2 linked regions of the Bombyx mori genome follow. The protein of the gene in region 1 purifies or fractionates together with the protein of each later gene. This does not show direct contact. Links are inferred from orthologs where the notes say so. Each region holds a gene or a part of one and is shown in the gene's direction. Other genes may lie near its edges.

Region 1 (4,293 bases):
TGGTTATTAACCTGGCTAACTAAAATTGTCTTATAACAAAATCTAATTTTAGCTGGTCTACTTTTCTTCTGTTGTCATGATCTTAATCGTTGATGGTTGTGTCTAGTTTGATTTTTCATCAATCAACTATCATGACAAACTCCTCGAAGTCTCAATGGCCTCAGTCTTATTTATTAGCTTAAACTATATTAAATATAATGCAATTCTAGTTTAAAATGTATAATAGATATCTATGAATAAATACCTTCTTTTCCCTGGTGTAAGTTCAGTAGAGTCATCAGAATCCAATGCCGGTTCCAATATTTCCATTAACGCTCCCTGCAGCCTCCCTCGAGCAGTTGTCACCTCTTTTACTGTTTGTTTAAACAAAAAACATTAAAATATGTGATATACTATTTTCTTCAGTTTTTAAAAGATGTAATTGTAACTATTTTTTCGCTCTAATCACGCGTATCTTACTTTCACGACATTTTAAATACTTTGCATTTATCAGGATCTTCGACTACTAGCGTGTTAGTGATTTTATGATGACTGACATTATATATAATAAACTAGACGCGGGAATACAATAGATAATTATAGATACGAATCCGGTGTAAGCTTTGAATTTAAAACAGTTCAGCAAAAAAATTCGTTTTTAAATTAAGAATTTATATTCGATATTCAATATTCTGCATCTTTATTGAAGGAAACTCAAATCGAACATGGTCCTCCCCTAAGCTAAAAGTTTAACCACCAACCAACGAGACTACCATATCAGGAAAATTTTATATCCTACAATTGTGTATTAAAGTTCGTTATGTTGATCAAACCTTTATTAGAAATTTGAGGGAATTGCGTTATACTCTTTCCTTTGTTTTTGATTGGAGTGAAAATCCTTCTTCGTTTACGCATTTTTAAACCTGCTCCTTGAATCTATTTAAAATTAAAATAACTAAAATAATTAATCAAAACAAATGAGATGTGCACAGTATATTTAATTTGTTCTTTTTTAATTTGTATAAGGCCATTGGCTACTCTAACTTTGGGTCTACATTCGTGTTTTTTGTTGAATGCTGTTTTTTTTTTTGGAGAAATCTTGAAGTTACAAAAAGGATATAATATTATAGGATAAGTTAAAAAAGGTGACGATAGTGGATTTTAATATGTTTTTTTTTCATGTAAAAACTACTCATAAGTATTTAGACGAGAATTCTTGATATTTTCTCAAAAGTTAACTAAAATAGCAGTCAATTCTCATCTTACTAGCATACTATTTCCTTTAATTTTGTATCATATCATTTTATTTCAGATAAATTAATCTTATTTCTCATTTAACAAAGTATTTTAATGTATCTTTGAAATAATAAAATTAAACCATCAAACTCGACACGAGTAACGATGGCAGAGAAAGAAACCGAGTGCTATATATGTAAAAAGTAACAATCTATGGTCCCTCTGTTATGTGTCAAACAAAGCGGTTCAATATTTTATTTGTCAAAATAGTTTCTTGTGTGAATCTTGGTTTGACTGTGTAGAGTACCACGAAAATAGCTCATTATTTAAGAATACATTGCCGTGATTTATAAATGTTGAAATACAAATTGAAATCTTATGTATTATAATGTCAACACCAACGGCTTATGAGCACGACGCTGATGGTTAGTGTACAAAAAAATTCACGATTGAAGAATTTTCAAGCCTCACCGCTTTCTCTAGTAGTTTTCACATTAACCACGTTTCGTGTGATTGAAGATATTCGAATTAATTGATACAATACGATTTTTTTGTAAACATTAGAGTTTAACGTTTCACACAATAATTATAGGAAGAACTGTCCTTTAAATACTTGAATTTTTCATCCAAATATATTACCTATTATTGTTAATTAACAGTCTATTATATATTTCTAATCGAGCTTAACTTTTACTGATTTTCAAAGATAAAACTAATTACAAAAACTTTACAAAATTAATTTAAACTTAACTTTTAAAAATTTCAACATTCAAGGGAGTAAATTCATTCCTGCAACTCAAAGACCTGATGGAACCTGGCGCAAGCCGAGAAGAATAAAAGAAGGTTATGTACCTCAAGAAGAGGTACCGTTGTATGAAAGCAAAGGAAAACAGTTCAGGGCCAGGCAAAATGATGGACTTCCGGTTGGACTTACACCTGAGATTGTAGCTCAAGCACAAAAGAAGAAAGGTCAACGAAGCACTATCCAACCTATACCTGGAATGATTATAACTGTTGAAAAGAAGAAAAAGAAAAAGAAGACAGGTATAAAAAAAAACATTTTTTGTTGTTCCTGAAGCAAAATGGTACTTGGTGTAATATGTTATTACATCATCAAATGGTCATTGAGCTCATCTGCTTATCTATAGGGCTCATATATAATAAATGAAGCTTTGAGTCCTTACTGAATTAATATTTCATGAAAAAATTTAAGGTACTTTTCTGTGTGAGGTGACTTCTTTCTGGTCGTTCCCTCTATGCTGAGGATCATGACTGTATGTCAATCTCCTCCACTCGGTCCGGTTCTGCGCCATAAGTACCGCTTCCTGTATCTGGCCTCTAGTCACCTCCTTAAATTGGTCCACCCATCTAGCTGGTGCTCTTCCTCTAGCACGCTAGGTACTCTTAAATTACATAAAAGAAAATATTCCAGCACTTGCTAGATTCCTGCAGTAATATCACCCTGGCTATAGAAACTATCTAGAGCTTTGCTATATAATATTTTTAGAATAAAAAAACTTAAGGATGAAATGAGTAATAAATATGCTTTTTTTCTTATTTCGTTGGAAAAAATCATGCCCCACCTGGTGTTAAACGGTTACTGGAGCCCATAAACATCTACAACCTAAATACCACCAACCTTTTACAGTACAATGGCTGCCCCGCCCCACCTTTCAAAGCAAAATCTATTACTGCTTCACGACAAAAATAAACAGGGTGGTGTTATCTACCTGTGTACTCATGAGACGTCCTACCACCACTAATTATACAGATTATAATTTTATGGGTTTTATTTTTAATACACGATTTTACTCCATCACAGTGGAAGTCAATCATGAACATTTGTTATGTACTTATTTTACTAGAAAAAATGGTACCTGACTGCAGATTCCTACCCCATTGCATCGCTTGATACGAATGCACCGGGCTTCTTATCACTTAGGCCACAACAGCTTCATCAAGTGACAAAGAATATAGAAGGACACTTGACAGGGAGTTCAAACGCAGTTAAGGGAAATTAATCTAGTCAAAACAGCAACACATTGTCATGTTTATGAATAGCTTTCACAAATAAAGAATAAGACAGGGTAATCTTACAGAATAACTTTTGAGGAATAATTAGTATTAGGGATTTTAAGTTGCAGTCTCAAAAAGCTCAATAGCAATATTAGGAAGCATACTATCCTATTCATATTATAGAAGATTATTATTTTGCTGGCATACACGGCTGGTGAACATGAACGTTTAAGGCAATTTTTAGTAAATATGTAAACCTTAGCTTCCAAAAACATATTTAAAAAATGACAAGAGCTATCAAGCCGATAGTTCACAAAAATTTTGATACATTATTTTTAAAGATTCTTAATACTTTACCCATTTTAAATTTTTGAACTTAGTTACTTTATATTTTAAATGTAATCTTCAATCACACCACTAAAAATAACCAATATTATTGCAGTGAACATTTGGTTAGAGAATTTTGATTTTTATGAACTCTAAATTTTTAGTTACAGGTGTTGAAGAAGCTGCAGAAAAACTTGCCAAATGTGAAATACAAGAACCAACCGTACCTAGTCAGTCAGTACCGACTGAAAGTATATCTCAGTCTGATCCGACAAAACGCCTCAAGAATCTCAGAAAAAAGCTTAGAGAAATAGAGTTTCTAGAGGAAAAAATAAAAGCAGGGCTTCTTAAGAGCCCTGATAAAGATCAAAAAGAGAAAATGTCAAAAAAGAATGAAATTTTAAATGAAATTGACATTTTAGAGAATAGTATTCTATGATTTATTGCAATTCAAGATTTTATGAGACATTTGATTATCATGTTCTTGTTATGTGTGTGTCGTGGTGGATGTGCGAGTGAAATGTTTCTTTTTAATTATACAATATATTTACAACATTAATGTGTTTGAGTTATTTATTCGAATTGTCTCATAATTTTGTGCTCTGGATTACTAAGTCGTGTGGAGGTCTGAATGTGGGAAACGTAGAAGTTCCTATTTCCTGCACTATACTTTTTTGAAAATCATTTTGGAGACACGTGATATGTAAGATTAAAAAACAAAATAATTTAGTAATA
Region 2 (4,257 bases), on another chromosome or scaffold:
TCCACATCGTTTTCTAATAAATTACAGTCACTCATGATTTTACTACTAATTTCATTTCAATGTATGCTAATAGACTGAAACTCTGAAAGTTAGTTTGACATTGATTATTATTTATTTGATTACTCTATTCTTTTTTATTTTCAGATGATAAAAAATTCACAAGCTTAAAGAGTATATTAAAATTTTAAAAATCGCATTTATTTCAACTAAAGAATTAAAAAGAAAGATCAAAAGTTAGAAGTTCTTTTCATATTTGAAATAATTTAATCATATTTTATGATTTTCGAATATCATTGAAAATTGCATTGTACTTAAAAGAAGTGAAAGTGATAAATATATATAATAATTAAGTAACAAATAGCGGAGGAACTGGGGATACCTATCAGCGACGCACTCCACCGGGCTGCAGGGCGGGATCGATGGAGACAGTTGGTTGACGAAATCGGACGGAGTCACGATCCTCAGCAGTGAGGAACCGATCGAAGAGAGAGAGAGAGAGAACAGTTTCATATTATTCGAGGAAATTTGTATGATGATTAATAAATGTATACATATAACATAATTTTTTTGGCAATCCTTCCCTTTTTTTGGTGGTTTTTTAATCATATTTATGAAAAAAAAAATTGACATTTTTTTTGAAGTAGATATCTATTTGTGCTATTTTTTTATTTTTTCCTACTTATTCTGATAGCCTTGAGAGGCTATTAAATTTCAGCTTCGCCATAACTTTATAAACTTGACAGTATAAAGGCGGACTTAATGCCATTTAAAATACAGTTCTATACAATACACTTCTATTATGTATATTATCTATTTTTGACGTTGATGTACGATTGTTGTGGGACTTTTTGACGGGAACGCGAGGAATGAAGTTTTGTGATCTGTTTTGTTTTGTCTATTTAGTGCTTCTTCGAGTTTAAAGGCGTAATAACGGTGGTTTATTATCTGTTTAGTAACTGTGTAAGTGCACAAATGTGTGAAAATGAAACAAAGCCGCCGAACGTAATTTCTCGGGATCTTCCAAAAAGTGCACTGAAAAAGTCTCACTAAATGTCCACCATTTTCCTGAGATTATATTTCATCCCATATCATCTCATCTCCTTTCATTTCATTTCGTTTTAATTTCCATTCAATTTAATTTCCTGCCATATTTCATATAAAAAAAGTTTTCATTAAAATTAAAATAAGTCTTGACCTAAAAGTCTTAGTTACCAGGTCATAAAGTCCTTTAAAAATGTGATTGTCGTATACATGTCTTATCTATGAATAATCTCTCAAATATAATAAGTGTATAATCTATGGAATAATCTATGGTGGTCGTGTTTGATGCGGAGTTTTCAAGATTAATTTGTGTAACTTTTTGATTTTTTAAACTCATATGGTCTCTAGATAAATACATCTTTATTAATTACATTTTATTTAAATTATTTACTACTTCTCATAACGTAAATCTACTATAAAACATGGCTGACGTGCTAGATATCGAAAATTCAGAAGAATTTGAAGTCGACGAAGATGGTGAACGTAAGTGGAACAATTGATATTATTAAAAATATTTTAATCAAATTTTGTTTCCTATTCATTATCTGTAAAGTCTGCTCGTAGCTTAAACAAGCAATTATGTGTGGACATAAAACGGGAAATGTTGTCTCAATTAAGGTTATAATTTCCGACTGAATTTTTTTTACATTTGTAATGTTATTATCGCCGGTCGACGTTAAACTTTCACCACTGGGTTTAATTTAAATGCACACATACAAAATGATGCACACCAGACTTGTTAAGACATATAAATCTAACATATAGATTGCTTGTTCCCCATTTTTTCATATTTCGTGCTTTAGGACATTACATTGGTGATTCTTACGTGTTTTATAATTATTCTTGCACTAAATTAAGCTTAAAGTAAACTAAAAATTGTAATGTTGTTGATTTCCAAAAATAACACATAATATACTGGTGGTAGGAGCTCTTGTGAGTCCGCGCGGGTGGGTACCACCACCCTGCCTATTTCTGCCGTAGCAGCCGGGCAGCCGTTGTATACTTGAGACCTTAGAACTTATATCTCAAGGTGGATGGCGCATTTACATTGTGGATGTCTATGGGCTCCAGTAACCACTAAACAACAGGTGGGCTGTGAGATCATGCACCCAACAATAAAAAAAAAATTTAGTGTAAAATTACAGTATTTAAAAATGTTACAGAGGGAATCGCTAGACTTAAGGAGAAGGCACGTAAGCGAAAAGGTCGTGGTTTTGGCAACGAAGCCGGTGGAGGCAGTGCTGCAGAACGGGGTAACCGCGGAAGGTAATACACAGATTTTGTCATTTTCCATTGTACTGAATAATAATATTTCTTGCTAATCAACAGAAGCTCTGTTTCCACTCTGGAAAAACCCACAACCGAACCAGGCTTAACATGTCCAACAGTGGCCAAAACTTTGTATTGTTTTGTTGCAGATACGACAGTTTAGCTCCGGAAGGCGATAGCGGTACACCAGGACCTCAGAGATCAGTTGAAGGCTGGATCCTGTTTGTCAGTAATGTACATGAAGAAGCACAAGAAGAAGATATACAGGCAATTAAAACTTCTTTTATTTATATTTAGAAGATAAAATTTCCACTTTGTATCTACTTGTAGCTACTGTTTGAGACACACCTTAATTTGAAATGGTTATAATTACAAAAAAACAATGTGAAAGATTAAAAGGTATATTCCTATTTAATTAATGTGAAATGTGAAATAGGTTAAGTCAAAGAAAAGATATTTTGTCATGTCAATGTATTTGTTGGTAAATAGACACGCATCAATAGGGACATTGACATATTCATAAAAATGTGAATGTAGCCACTTTGAAACATTAGTGTAAATCTGTGGAATAGTATTGATCAATAATAATATAATAATTTAATAGGACTATAGGTTTTTTTTATTGCCTTTCTAGGCAACATGCGAGCAGTAGACGAGCATATGGCCCACCTGATGGTAAGTGGTCAGCGTCGCTTATCGACGTCAGCAATGCGCCAGGGACAGAGCCAAGCCGCTGCCTACATTACTACATTGCCAATAAGATTAAATTATTATATGACCAATAGAATAAGTATGTAATACAAATCCTTTTTTTTTAATAAAAATATGTCAAGTTTTTCATAGAATATATGCAGACCACTATTACAAATTTTATTGAAGTTCTTTAGGCGCGTTGTGAAAAATTGATGAGAGTGAAATTTTACGATGCACGCGCACCGTGACACAAATTTAACAGAAATGAAGTTGCCCACTAAATCGCTCATTAAAATACGACCGCCGTAACTTGGAGAGTCTGAATATAGCCGCAGGTGAACTTTCGCGCATGTTCACTCGTAAAAAAAAGTGTGATTAGCATTTATTTTTTACTAATATAAATGACAAAATTATTTTTTAATATAATTCATACTAAATATTATTAAATTATTAACATTAAATATATTTATTTAACATCTAAAAAAAAATAAAAATTAATAAAAATAAAGTATAACTTCTTACGCGCGTACATAAGTACACGCACCCTTTTTTTATAAGGATCGGTGATTCGATCAGTGGAAACAATATTAGTTTGTTTTGTTGACAGAATCAATTTTCCGAGTTTGGTGAGATAAAGAATATTCATCTGAATCTGGACCGACGCACAGGCTTCCTCAAAGGCTACGCTCTAGTTGAGTACGAGACTTATAAACAAGCCGCTGTAAGTACTTAGTGCTACTGATTAATATAAGACTTACTGTGCTTTGGTATCCACTTTATACATACTGAATGATGACCGGTTTTTTTTGATAACGCCATCTTGTTGTGTCTTTAAAGCGGTTAGTTGCCCTCAATTAAGAAAAATAGTATTATTATTCGCCAATAGATGTCAGGAAGAGTTAATTTTTGAAAACACGAATAAAACAACATTTTCTCAAAATAAATCGTAGCTAGATCGATTTATCGTCCCCGAAATCCCCTGTATACTAAGTTATATGAAAATCGTTGGAGCCGTTTCCGAGATTCAAATTATATACATATATATTAATATACAAGAATTGCTCGTTTAAAGATATCCACTGTATACATCTTAAACTTCGTATGTATCTTTTTTAATTGCTTTGTTTGGATGAAAGAATTCACGGCCCGCTTGATTATAATGGTTACTGTAGTCCATAGACACCAACAATGAAAATACGCCATCTAACAGGTAACATGAGTTGAAACATGACTTCAAGTCGAACCATATTACTG

Evidence for each region. Proteins that work in one complex are often made in the same cells at the same time.
Region 2: the proteins of wibg (region 1) and Y14 purify together in Drosophila melanogaster (affinity purification with western blotting; 3 studies listed by BioGRID, with this or other methods). This does not show direct contact. The link is inferred for Bombyx mori from reciprocal best matches to the Drosophila melanogaster genes Pym and tsu.

What each region holds. Positions count from the first base shown.
Region 1 is NC_085114.1:15,048,695-15,052,987, forward strand, and holds wibg (partner of Y14 and mago), read left to right. Parts: upstream 1-1,421; 5' UTR 1,422-1,603; coding exon 1,604-1,640; intron 1,641-1,989; coding exon 1,990-2,259; intron 2,260-3,722; coding exon of another isoform or gene 3,723-3,728; coding exon 3,729-3,997; 3' UTR 3,998-4,117; downstream 4,118-4,293. Other genes in the region: protein lin-37 homolog, read right to left, coding at 245-353, 813-894. UniProt on the Drosophila melanogaster protein: Regulator of the exon junction complex (EJC), a multiprotein complex that associates immediately upstream of the exon-exon junction on mRNAs and serves as a positional landmark for the intron exon structure of genes and directs post-transcriptional processes in the cytoplasm such as mRNA export, nonsense-mediated mRNA decay (NMD) or translation.
Region 2 is NC_085108.1:4,111,769-4,116,025, reverse strand, and holds the start of Y14 (RNA binding motif protein Y14), read left to right. Parts: upstream 1-1,325; 5' UTR 1,326-1,463; coding exon 1,464-1,524; intron 1,525-2,204; coding exon 2,205-2,307; intron 2,308-2,459; coding exon 2,460-2,577; intron 2,578-3,610; coding exon 3,611-3,724; intron 3,725-4,257. Other genes in the region: uncharacterized protein LOC101745843, read right to left, coding at 1-35.